Linked DNA regions of Rhinolophus ferrumequinum. The protein of the gene in region 1 interacts with the protein of each later gene in a biochemical or structural test. Links are inferred from orthologs where the notes say so. Each region holds a gene or a part of one and is shown on either strand. Other genes may lie near its edges.

Region 1 (3,747 bases):
AAACCCAGGAGTCTGACCCTTTCTTGTTATAGAAGGGGAAACTCAAGCCCAAAGAGGGGAAGGGACTTACCCAAGGCCACACAGTGGTCACAGAATGAGTTAATAGCAAAGCTAGGAGTAGAAGCCAGGTGTCCTGACCACTCCTCAAATATCCTTTCCACTGCCCCAAGTTGGCTTATCATCCCTGATGTATGTGGTGCTCTACCTCACAAAGAATATTCAGAACAGTTGCCAGTTGACAGGAGAAAAAATGACTATGGCCAGCCACTTTCAAACTAAAACTCAGACTTAAGCAGGTAACTGCTACGGTCTAGAACACTGCTGTCCTGGGATTTTGTGACCTTGACAAGAAGTAGAAAGGGTGCTGGCAGACACATCCCAAGGGAGTGGACTGGGAGTACCTCTAACCTGGGGGGATTATAACCTTATCAGAAAGTGAATGCCATAAATCAGTGAATGTGTTGGGGGGAGGGCTAAAGGATCAAGACATTGATTTGAAGAAGGTGGAGATTGGGATTTAAAGAAAGGAAAGTAGTAGAGGACAGATATGGGGAAAAGGAGCCCAGTTCTGATGAAAATGAGGATTAAGCAAGGGTAGGGAGGAAATAACAATGGGGAAAGGGATATAGAGGCCTACAGAAGAGAACTGATGAAGTGTTGGAGGAATTGAGGCGGTTTAGCCAAGAGAAGAAAATTTTCAGGGGGACAGGAGATCTTCAAACCTCTGGGGAGTTATGAGGGACAGCAGGGGATTTGAGTGGCCCCAGGGATCAGATGTAAGATCCACAGGTGGAAGCCACAGAGAAAAGGAGTTCAGATACACACAGGAAGAACATTCTAAGAGTCAGAGGTATCTTGATAGGGAACGGGCAGTTTTGATCGGTAGCGAGCTCCCCATCAGTGGAAAGCTGCAGTCAGGGGCTGCTTAAGTCTTTGCCAGGGTGCAGCCCAGGGTGCGGCCTAGGGTCCGGCCCTGTTTGGGGGTGGGGCCGCAGGGCCCGGATTGCCCAGATGCAGAGGTCTAGGGGGTGTGAAGTGGGTGGGAGAGGAGCAGGGTGGGTATGGATTGGGGCGGGGAGTCCCACTTGGGGCGCCCAGGCCCAGTCCAGCACCCACGTGGTTTGTGTGGCCGGCCTGGGCAGGGCTGGACTGGGCGGAGCGAGGCAAGCGGACAGCAAGGAGGCGGGCGCGAGGGCGGGGAGCGGCGCGGAAGCCCGGCCACATAAAGGAGCTGGCGGCGCGACGGGGGCGGCTCTTTCCTGGGTGGGGTTTGTGAAGTCGTGGCCCGTTAGCAGGAAGCCCAGCAGTCGCCCCGACTCTAGTGAGGGACCCAATCCGAGCCCCCAGCCCCCGGAGTCCGAGCGGTGTGTACCGTGTGCTCAGCGCTGCCTCACAGCTCCGAGCCAAACTTCGCCAACTCCGCCGCCTTTGCCGCCACCATGCCCAAGACGGTGAGTGTCCGGGGTGGGCGCTGCCGGCCCCAGGGTCTCTAGCTGACCCTTGTAGCCCCTTGATGATGGCTGGGGACTTGGCCAGCTACCCGCCGTCTCGGGACGCCGCGCCCTACGCCAGGGCCTGTGGTCGGGAGGGGCAGGAGTGGAGTCCTGGTATGGCGCGCCCTCGGGGGGTGGAAGGCTTGAGGTGGTCCCGAGCAAGAAGTGTGGACTGGGCGGGGCTGTTATGGTTCTCACATTCCAGTTCCCTACATCTGGGATGCGACCTTTGAGAAGGCTTCCTTGGGGGCCCAAGTTCTCTTGTCCCTGACAGGCCATGGGAGTGGGGGAGAAGACTCTGGTCCGAAGGAGAACAAGTCCCCCAGACCTGAAATTGGCGCCGTTCTGAAGCAAGGCTGTCACTGTCCAGGAGGGGCCATGGGAACCAAGAATCAAGGTGGAAGGAGGGAGATCCTAAGGGCGGATCCCGCACCCCCACTCACCTTCCCCACAGCCTCCCCAGGCGCCTCCAGCTGTTTCCCACTGGTGGGGGGGGGGTAGGAGAGAGTTGTGGAAGGACTCATTGAGGCTGCTTGCTTTTACCCAAGTGCACTAACACTTCACTAGGCACCAATCTGAAGGGAGGTCTGCCCAACCACCTAGGGGAGAGGACTGGGTTCTTCGTCCTCTCCACTCGCCAAATCCCTGCTCTTCCCATTACTTAATGACTCTCTATCTCCTCCTATCCCCTCCGGACTGTTCTGTGAGGTGTGGATTCTTTCCTGTTGGGCCACACCTTTCTAGAGTGGTGGTAGCTTCTAGGATCTGGTCTCTAACCCACTGGCTGTTATGAGAAGAGCAGAAGCCTCCTGGGAGTGGGGCCTAGGGGGGCCGGATGCCCAGGAGGGTGGGGTGGGGGAGGAGTGTGCCTGAATAATGAGCCTGCTTGCTTTTGTGCAAGTCATGCCAAATGGCTGCTGGGGCCCTTCCCTTGCCCAGGAAGGCCTGGTGACCACCTTGGTTTGAGTCCCTTAGGCCAAGCAGCTTGTTGGACTGGACTAGGCTTTGCAGTTCTCCCAGAACCCTCTCTAGGACTGCCTGAGCCTTGTAGAGCTGAGATAGTGACTAGTAGCCTTGAGAAGGGCTGGGGGTCTCTGGATGAGAGGAGTCAGGATCCAGTTCTTTGGGTGTGTGCTGAGCTTTGGTTGCCAGGTTGCTGTATTCCAGCCTTATTGCCAAGTCATTCTTGCCTTTTCGAACCTTGTCCTTCAGAAGCACTAAGTTTTCCACAAGTATGTGCTTCTATCTCTCTTTTAAATTGTTGGTTTTACGCCATGGGGCTTTTCCACACTTACCCTCCCACCCCCAGGAGCCTCTCCTTGGGTTTATCCCTGTGGTTGACTCTTTCACTCCTCTTAAGGTATAGAAGGGCCTAAATAGGTGGGTGGATCTCTGGGAATAGACTGCCCATGACTTCTCTTCTCTAGTGGAATCTCTCATTTTCAATTCTGAGTTCTCTCACATTTAAACACAACTTGATGGGTCTGGAAATTGTCTCAAAGGGGCCTTAACCATTCCATCTAAGTCAAAAATGGCAAAGATGGTAGCATGGTGATCTTTATCCTGGGTATGGAGAGAGACTGGAGTATGGGCTGTTTGATGCTAAGCCTAGGGTACTGAATGTACCTGAATACTGAAGGCATTTTTATGCAGATTGACAGAAACTTGAATCAAGTTGGAAGGAGAGGGCTGAATTTTGATAGACTGGAAGATTTGGAGAATTTCCCATGCTGTTTGGCTCAAGGAATGATAAACTTCTAGGAGAAACAACTATATCATGCCTGTTAAGACCATAAAATCTTAACTTGAAAGGGACCTCAGAGACTATTGATCTAATACCTCGCTCTCTTTCAACTAATGAAGGTAGTTAGGCCTATAGGGAGGACCTACCTAAGATCACATGGTGACAATCAAGATTGGGGTTTAGGCTTTTTGATGCTCATCACATTGACCCTGTATTCTGACTCAATGATTAGGTTCTTGAGGTGGAGTCCCCTTTTCTGCCCAAAGCAAGTTGTCCCCTGTTCTCAAGACTTCCTGGTCCTCAGATAAAAGGGAGTGGATAATTTGGGCAAAGTAACCAATGTTGGCATTTGTGTGGTCTCTTGGTGAGAGTTGGGAGTATCACAAGGTGCCTCCTGTTTTCTCATTTCTTATCTCAATGCTGAGGTGTCCAGGGGCACACCCTAGTTCACTGCATATCAGCTAGTAGCTTTAATGAAGGGAGAAAATTCCTTGTTCTCCACTCCTTCAC
Region 2 (3,747 bases), on another chromosome or scaffold:
CAAGCCTGGATCTCAAGCTGTCACATAGAGGCTCATGGACTGGCTGTTCTGAAAAATATTTAACATCTTATTCTTTACAATTTTAGAATATTTAACAAGGAGGTCTCCATCTTAACCTCGGGCACCATTGGTTAGGGATAGTGGTATGCTGGTAATGCTTGGGCTCTCAGAGCTCGGGGAGCCCCAATAGCGAGCATTTGCCAATTTCTGTGGTGTAAATATTCCCGCTAAGGCTGATGTCAAGCTACCCAATGTGAGACAAGGGAAGAGATGAGCAGTCAGATCTCATGAGCCAGGACCAACAGGCTCCTACATAGTATTTAACAGAAGTACCTCACAGACACACAGAGTGAGGGACACACAAATACACACATTACACGGAAATACACATATGAAGACGTATACATAGACACATACTGACACAGACATCCGCATACAGTCACACACAGACACATGCTCACACACAGATCTGCACACGGGCACGGATACTGACAGTTACTCACGGAGATAAAGACGGGTACACACAGACATACGTGTACACTGGCACAGACACATAATGACATATATACTCACGGACCCACATGTAGATACACAGGTGCATATGGACACTAGTGTCCACACAGGAGCTTACACAGTTACACACATACACTAATCTGTAAAGACTTCACAAAATGGTAGGCCCTATGAGTGATATTCTCAGCTATTTTCTAGTCTGTTGTAGTTTAAATGCAGAGAAACTCTTGGAAGGATGCACAAGAAACCAGTACCAGGGGGATGCACGGTCTGGGGAGGAAGATGTCACCTGTTAAGAACAGGGACTTGGGAGCCGCACTGCCGGCCTATCTGCTCACGGGCTGTGAACCGTGGCAAGTGACTGCACCCCACTGAGCCTCAGTCTCCTTAGCTGTGAAATGAGGCTCATAAGTGCACCCCCCACACACCCCACTCCACCCCCTGCCCTGGGGCTTTTTTAAGGCTTGAATGAGCACCTCAGTGGGTGTGAACACTTGAAACTGGCCATTGGCAGCAGCACTAGGTAAATGGAGACTTGACATTTATACCTTTTTATACTTTCTGATTTGGGAACCCCCTTAATTTATTACCTGCCATAAAATATAAGTAATAAATAAAAGGCATGAGCTATCAGTTTTTAAATGTTTGCTGGGATCTAAATAAATAGATTTCACATTGCTGCCTGGCATGTGGTTGAGATGTATCTTTGTCTCTGCCGTGTGTGTGTGTGTGTGTGTGTGTGTGTGTGTCACACACACACACACATGCAAGTCCAGGTCCAAGCTCTGGGTCAGAGAGAGGCCTGGTCCATTCCTGCAAACTCAGGGCCATTGCCCATCTACCCCCACCATTGCTTGAGACCAGGCCCACCTCCAGACACATCCACTCACGGTACACTGTGATATCAGAGGAGCTTGTCATCTGGGAGCCATTGCAGAAGCTAGCGCAGAGGACCTTGCTGTCAGCAGTCACATTGCTGAGCTGGAAGGCCACCCAGTTTGGGCCACGGCTCACTAGCTCCTTCAATAGGGACGTCTCCAGGGTGATGAGTTCAGGGTCGGGGCAATCAGTACTGCAGTTTACCAAGAGGGATCCTCTGGCAGGTATAACTGGGTCCTGGGGCTCCACCCGCAGCAGGTACTCCTGCCCCTGGATACCTACGGGAACAAGGGGAAGCTCTGCTGGTTGACCTGGTGCCCCCAGCCCAGCCATCTTCAGGCCCCACCATCCATCACCTCCTTGGAACAATGGTCTCTGCCTTCATAGTGCTTCCAGTTCAGTGGGGAAGGCAGGTGATAGATCAAGTGTAGGGGAGAGCTTGGAGGGAGATCCATAGGAGCCTAGAGGAGGAAGTGAGTCAAGGAAACTTCCTGAAAGAGACGACTATGGCCACTTTTGAGGGTAGGTAAGTAGGAATCAGCCAAGTGAAAGGGAAAAGTGATCCTGACAGAGGGAAGAGAATAGGCAAAGGTCAAGGGAACAGATGGAACAGAGAGAGTTGGGGTGGAGGGACAAACCACATGCAGGGATGAGGCCTCAGGGAGCCCTGAAAGCTGAGTGAAGGAGCCATAAACTTTGTCTCCAGGACACTGGTGAACCCCGTCAGATACAGGTTGAAGTGAACCACAGCAACAGGATGTGAGAGCTTTGTTTTCTTCACCCTCTACCAGTCCCCCAATACACCCCTTCCTACCCCGGTCACCTTACCTGGGGGCAGCAGACAGCAACCCAGAAGCAGGGAGATGAGCAGAGTGCAGCAGGCCCCGTGCAGTGGCCCCAAGGGCACCATGGTGGCCAACCTGTGGAGGAAGGTGCTGTAATGTAGCAGTGGGCAGGGCAGTGGGGAGCAGGCGGGGCCACCCAGGAATACGGAAACACAGCCACAGCAGTTAAGATTGTATAAATCCAGGGGTTGCATCTTGCCCAAGCCTGGGGAGGGGCAGGGAGGATCCTCTGTAACCCCGAAGGTCCAGCGTGGGGGGCCCAAGTGGGGCCCTGCGAGATGAGACGGGAGGGCACTGGCGAATATCTGACAAGGCGGACCTCATTTGCCCGCTCTAAACCTACAGGAAATACTAACACAGTCATCTTCCTTTGTTCTCAGTACTAGGAAGTCTAGGTGGAGGGGGGTGAAATACCTCCTTTCTGCTGACCTTAGAGGAAGTTAATGGGGGGGACCTCCAGACACCGTCCTTGAAGTGATAAAGAGTGATTTCAAGGCAACATTTCAAGGGGATGATGCAGGGACTTCTAGGCAGGGCCTCGAGAGATTAGTGTGAGATCTCAACATTCTTGGAGGGCATAAAGAGGGACCCCTGGGCCAGCCCGGTGGCTCAGGCGGTTGGAGTTCCATGCTCCTAACTCTGAAGGCTGCCGGTTTGATTCCCACATGGGCCAGTGGGCTCTCAACCACAAGGCTGCCAGTTCAACTCCTTGAGTCCCCCAAGGGATGGTGGGCTCCGCCCCCTGCAACTAAGATTGAACACAGCACCTTGAGCTGAGCTGCTGCTGAGCTCCCGGATGGCTCAGTTGGTTGGAGCGTGTCCTCTCAACCACAAGGTTGCCGGTGTGATTCCTTGAGTCCCGCACGGGATGGTGGGGCGCGCCCCCTGCAACTAGCAAGGGCAACTGGACCTGGATGTGAGCTGCACCCTCCACAACTAAGACTGAAAGGACAACTTGACTTGGAAAAAAGTCCTGGATGTACAACTGTTCCCCAATAAAGTCCTGTTCCCCTTCCTCAATAAAATCTTAAAAAAAAAAAAAGAGGGACCCCCTAAGATGAATGAAGCCATGAAAATGAACAGAGCCCACATTTATTGGGCACTTGTGCGAGGCTCTGTATTGGCTTCCAGAATGGCTCCTGTAGGGCCCTTTACCACTGAAGATTTTGGTGGGAATCTCCACGGAGATCCCCCCATTCCCTGTGCACGATGCTGAGGTGGGGTGTTTGGGACACAGATCAATCCTGAGCCACCGTGTGTCAAGGATGCACTTGTAACTATCCCTTATCCCTGTCCCCCTTGCCCTCACCTCTAGGCAGCTGGTCTCTTCATCTCTAGGAAAGGGACTGGGAACAGCAGTAGTGGGGGTGAGGGTGGGGGTGGAGGGGGTGGTGATGGTGGTGTCAGGTGGCCACTCCCACCTCCATCTGCTGCATCTCTTGGGCCTCCAACCTGCCTCCTTTTCCACTAATGAGCACCAGAGAGGGACCTTCATGGCACCTAGTATTCA
Region 3 (3,747 bases), on another chromosome or scaffold:
ATAGTAAAATAAGACTGGGTCTTATGTTACTTTTTGCTCCAAAAGACGCACTAGAGCTGATTGTCCGGCTAGGTCTTATTTTCGGGGAAACATGGTAGGATTGTCCTAACCTATGGGGTCAAATGTGCTTTTCAGAGTAATCCTAAGTGGGAGTTTGCTGGCTGGTCCTTTCCTTCTTCTTCCCAGATTCTGCTGTTCCTGGGGGAATCCTCTGAGAAATTGTAAGTCAAGGAAGGATGGCATTATGGAGACCAAACATCCGGTTTCAAGGATAAAAACATCGGCCAAAATGTGATGGAGAGAAGTTGGGTTGATGAGGCTGTTCCCGTGGGTGCAGGCCCTGGCTTCGGGGCTGGGGGCCCGTGTTGGGTGTGGGGGCTGCTGGGGGTTCCCAGGTTAAGAGGGGGGATGAGGATTCCGAGTGAGGATGCTGAGAGATGATGAGCTTGGAGTGAAGATTAGAAGGATGGTGATGAAAGCGAGAAATGATTCTGACCGCCAGGCTTGGTGTTCACGGGCTCTAAACGACTTCCGCGTCTCCCGCTTCTGGCCCATCAGAAATGGGGGACTCCAGAACCTCATCCTCACTGCCCACCAGAGGCTCTTCTTCCCCCTTTATGCTGGAGGCTGACCCAGCTTTGAGCTCTTCCAGGGCCAAGGAGCCCTGGCGAGACTTCCTTCGACCAAAGAAAGTGGTGAGCGTGGGCCGCCGGCCAGAACCCTCGCCGGGGACGCCAGAGCCCTTGTCACCACCGGACACTCCCACTGTTGTTATCACAGCCTCCTCATCAGACACCGGGGCGGGCCCCACCCAGGCATCTACCACCCCGTTGCGCTTTGCACCTCTGCTTAGCGTCAGTGCCCCGGTCCTCCGCTTCTGCCGCTGGCGCCAGAGCAGGAGTAATGCCAGGAGGACAATCACCACCAGCATGGCCACAAGCACAGCCATCAGCAGGGTGTTTTTTGTCCCCTTATATGAACCTAGGGGCTCTGAGGTAGGTATGGTGGATATTTCTACCGTGGAGATGGGGGAGATGGGGGAGCCACTGGTCCCCTTGGGGGTCTTCGGAGAGCTAGTTGTCATGGTGACAGGGAGTCCACTGGTCCCTTTGGAGATCTCTACTGTTCTAGTTACCATGGTGATAGGTGGTTCACTGGTCCCATCAGAAGTCTCCAGAGAGCTACTTGTCATGATGACAGAGGGTCCAATGGTCCCTCTGGAGGACTCCAGAGGTCCAGCTATCGTAGTCACAATGGATCCAGTTCCATTGGATGTCTCCAGAGAGCCAGTTGCCATGGCGACAGTGGATCCAGTGGTTCCACTGGATGCCTCTGGAGATGCAGTTGCCATGGCGACAGTGGATTCATTGGTCCCATTGGATGCCTCCAGAGATCTAGTTGCGTTGGTTCCACCAGTCATATTGAAGCCTCCCGAAGCAGACACTGCTAGGACAGCAGGGTTACTGGTTTTAGTAGAGATGTCCTGGACCATTGATTTGTTGGTGAGAGGTTCCGGGGAGATTGCTGGCTCAGATAAGGAGGGGCCATAGCTGTTAGCAGTAGAAGTCTCAAGAAAGGACGTGTCACTGGTTGCATGGCGAGGTGTGATGACCTGATGCGTGATCTGGTTATTTTCCCCAAGGACGCTTGTTACTGTATGGTGGGAGGTCATTGAGTTAGGAGTTAGGGTCTGATGCGTAGCTGAGACCCCAGGAAGAGTGGGCTGTGTGGATGGAGTCATGTCCAGATCTTCGGCCCAGACACTCCCAAAGAGGAGAAGAAGCAGAGTCATTTTCATGACCACAGGCATGAGCAGGAGGCAGGATCTGAGGTGTGGAAGTTGGAGAAATGGGACATATAAGGAGCCTGGAGGGGGAGGGGGAGAACCTGACCAGGCCCTTCCCTCCTGCCCACTTCCCTGCCAACTGCCAGACCTAACCTGCGGTTTAACAGCTTTTTCCACCCTTGCTTTTATATTATCAGAAATAGCAAGGGAACCGATGCTGGCAGCTCTCCCGTCAGCTCTATCCCATAGACCCCTGTGGCCTTGGCAGCTGGCACTCCAGCAGCACCTCCCTTCCTGGTCTCCCCTGATCCCATTCAGCCCCAGTGGCTCCTGATCCTCTTTTCCCATCATCTTTCAGAGTCTTTTCAAGCCTTAGGCACATTCCCGGGTCTGCTGAGACCCCTGCCCCCCAAGTCACACCCCCTTACCAGCTCACTTGATAAGGGCACAGGGCTGGGGCCAGGCCGCTCTAACTCCTCCTGAGGCTGGGGCAGGACTGGGCAAACGGGCCCCAAGGGGAAAGGAAGTGGCCCTGGCTCCACCCTTCCCCCCCCACCCCAGCATCCTGCCCGCCCCGCCCTGTTCCTACAGCTGCTATGATGAGAGCGCCATCACTTACTCTTTCCGGGGTCTGGGATGGTACCAGGGGCTATGGGGTCTCAGCTGAGGCAGTTGGGCGTGGGGGAGCAGGGAGTCTGGAATGGGGATTCCTGAGTCTTAGCTGGGACATGGGATGGCAAGAGGTGAAGCTGGGATCGGGAAGGGGATCAAAGCCTAGGTGATGGGAACATGCTCTTGAGATCTAGGGGGTACAGGGGAGGAAATGGGAGGGGAGGGTGGTTTCCTTTGTATTTGTAGACCCCAAGCTGTTAGGCCAGGACCCAGGGTGGCACGATTTCTTGTCCCAAGAGCTCCCAGGAAGTACTAGTGCAAGAGGAAGCCCCGAATTGTGCTGGGGGCAATGAAAGCCTTTGCAAGCTGCAAGAGATCCCTGATAAGGTCTTGAGGATTTATGAAGAAGCGGAGAGGTCACCACAGTGGTCCCCAGTTGTGGGGTGCTTAACGAAATCAATGTGGTTGCTAAGCAGTTCACACTATATCTTATTTTTGCAGAAGACTAACAAAGATGTGGGACTCTGTATGGACAGCAGTCTGGCAAGGTACCCCCTGAGGGATTAACCAAGTTTCTCAGGGCAGCTATGAGGAGAGGTTCTTTATTGTCTTCTTTGTTTTCGGACTTTCCTCTAATTTGTAAGCTTTGAGTTTTAGTGTGTGTATGGTTTTGGTTTTTTGCCTCTCTTTTCAAATAATCCAAACTGATTAAAAGTAATTAAAAGTAATCATAAATGTTCATGGTAGGTGATGGAAACGACTGAGATCGTATCCCACACACAAGCTGACAAGCGAATCTGACACAAAGACATGAGACTCCTGGGTCAGAGACTCCGGAATCCGTTAGTCACCGCACAACCAGCAGCAGGGGTGTTATGTCTGCATCAGCTCCCCTGGCCCTCAAGTCCCACAGGGTGTCACACACAGGCGTGCCCCACAAACTGAAGAACACTGAGCTCGGGGAATTTTCCTCTTTCCGAGCAGCTGGTCCACAAGCCTGCTTTGTCCTAAAGGGAGACCCCAGTGTGTCACCCTCAGTGACACACTGCAAACACAGCCCTGAGAAATGGCCTGGGTACACACTGGGCAGGACTTTGCGTGCTTGGCATAGCAGCAGCAGTATGCAGGGATGGCACCTCCAACAGTCGGGAGGGTGTAAAATGAAAAAGCTCCACACCGCTACCGGCGCACGCACATCTGTAATTCGTCTGTGTTTACACATGCATGTATTTCACTGTACTGCGTAGATTTTATGATGTATACTCTTCTGCACTGTTCGTTTTTTTAACTAAACTAACAAAGGAAGGAGAGAGGGAGAGAGGGAGGGAGAAAAAGGAGAGAGAGAGAGA

Evidence for each region.
Region 2: the proteins of MSN (region 1) and ICAM3 form a complex in vitro, tested with the Homo sapiens proteins (2 studies listed by BioGRID). The link is inferred for Rhinolophus ferrumequinum from reciprocal best matches to the Homo sapiens genes MSN and ICAM3.
Region 3: the proteins of MSN (region 1) and SPN form a complex in vitro, tested with the Homo sapiens proteins (2 studies listed by BioGRID). The link is inferred for Rhinolophus ferrumequinum from reciprocal best matches to the Homo sapiens genes MSN and SPN.

Annotation. Positions count from the first base shown.
Region 1 is NC_046284.1:79,399,613-79,403,359, forward strand, and holds the start of MSN (moesin), read left to right. Parts: upstream 1-1,206; 5' UTR 1,207-1,439; coding exon 1,440-1,451; intron 1,452-3,747. UniProt on the Homo sapiens protein: Ezrin-radixin-moesin (ERM) family protein that connects the actin cytoskeleton to the plasma membrane and thereby regulates the structure and function of specific domains of the cell cortex.
Region 2 is NC_046301.1:39,903,716-39,907,462, reverse strand, and holds the start of ICAM3 (intercellular adhesion molecule 3), read right to left. Parts: upstream 2,582-3,747; 5' UTR 2,432-2,581; coding exon 2,221-2,431; intron 1,671-2,220; coding exon 1,404-1,670; intron 1-1,403. UniProt on the Homo sapiens protein: ICAM proteins are ligands for the leukocyte adhesion protein LFA-1 (integrin alpha-L/beta-2). ICAM3 is also a ligand for integrin alpha-D/beta-2. In association with integrin alpha-L/beta-2, contributes to apoptotic neutrophil phagocytosis by macrophages.
Region 3 is NW_022680357.1:784,475-788,221, reverse strand, and holds the start of SPN (leukosialin), read right to left. Parts: upstream 2,356-3,747; 5' UTR 2,215-2,355; intron 1,827-2,214; 5' UTR 1,811-1,826; coding exon 521-1,810; 3' UTR 1-520. UniProt on the Homo sapiens protein: Predominant cell surface sialoprotein of leukocytes which regulates multiple T-cell functions, including T-cell activation, proliferation, differentiation, trafficking and migration.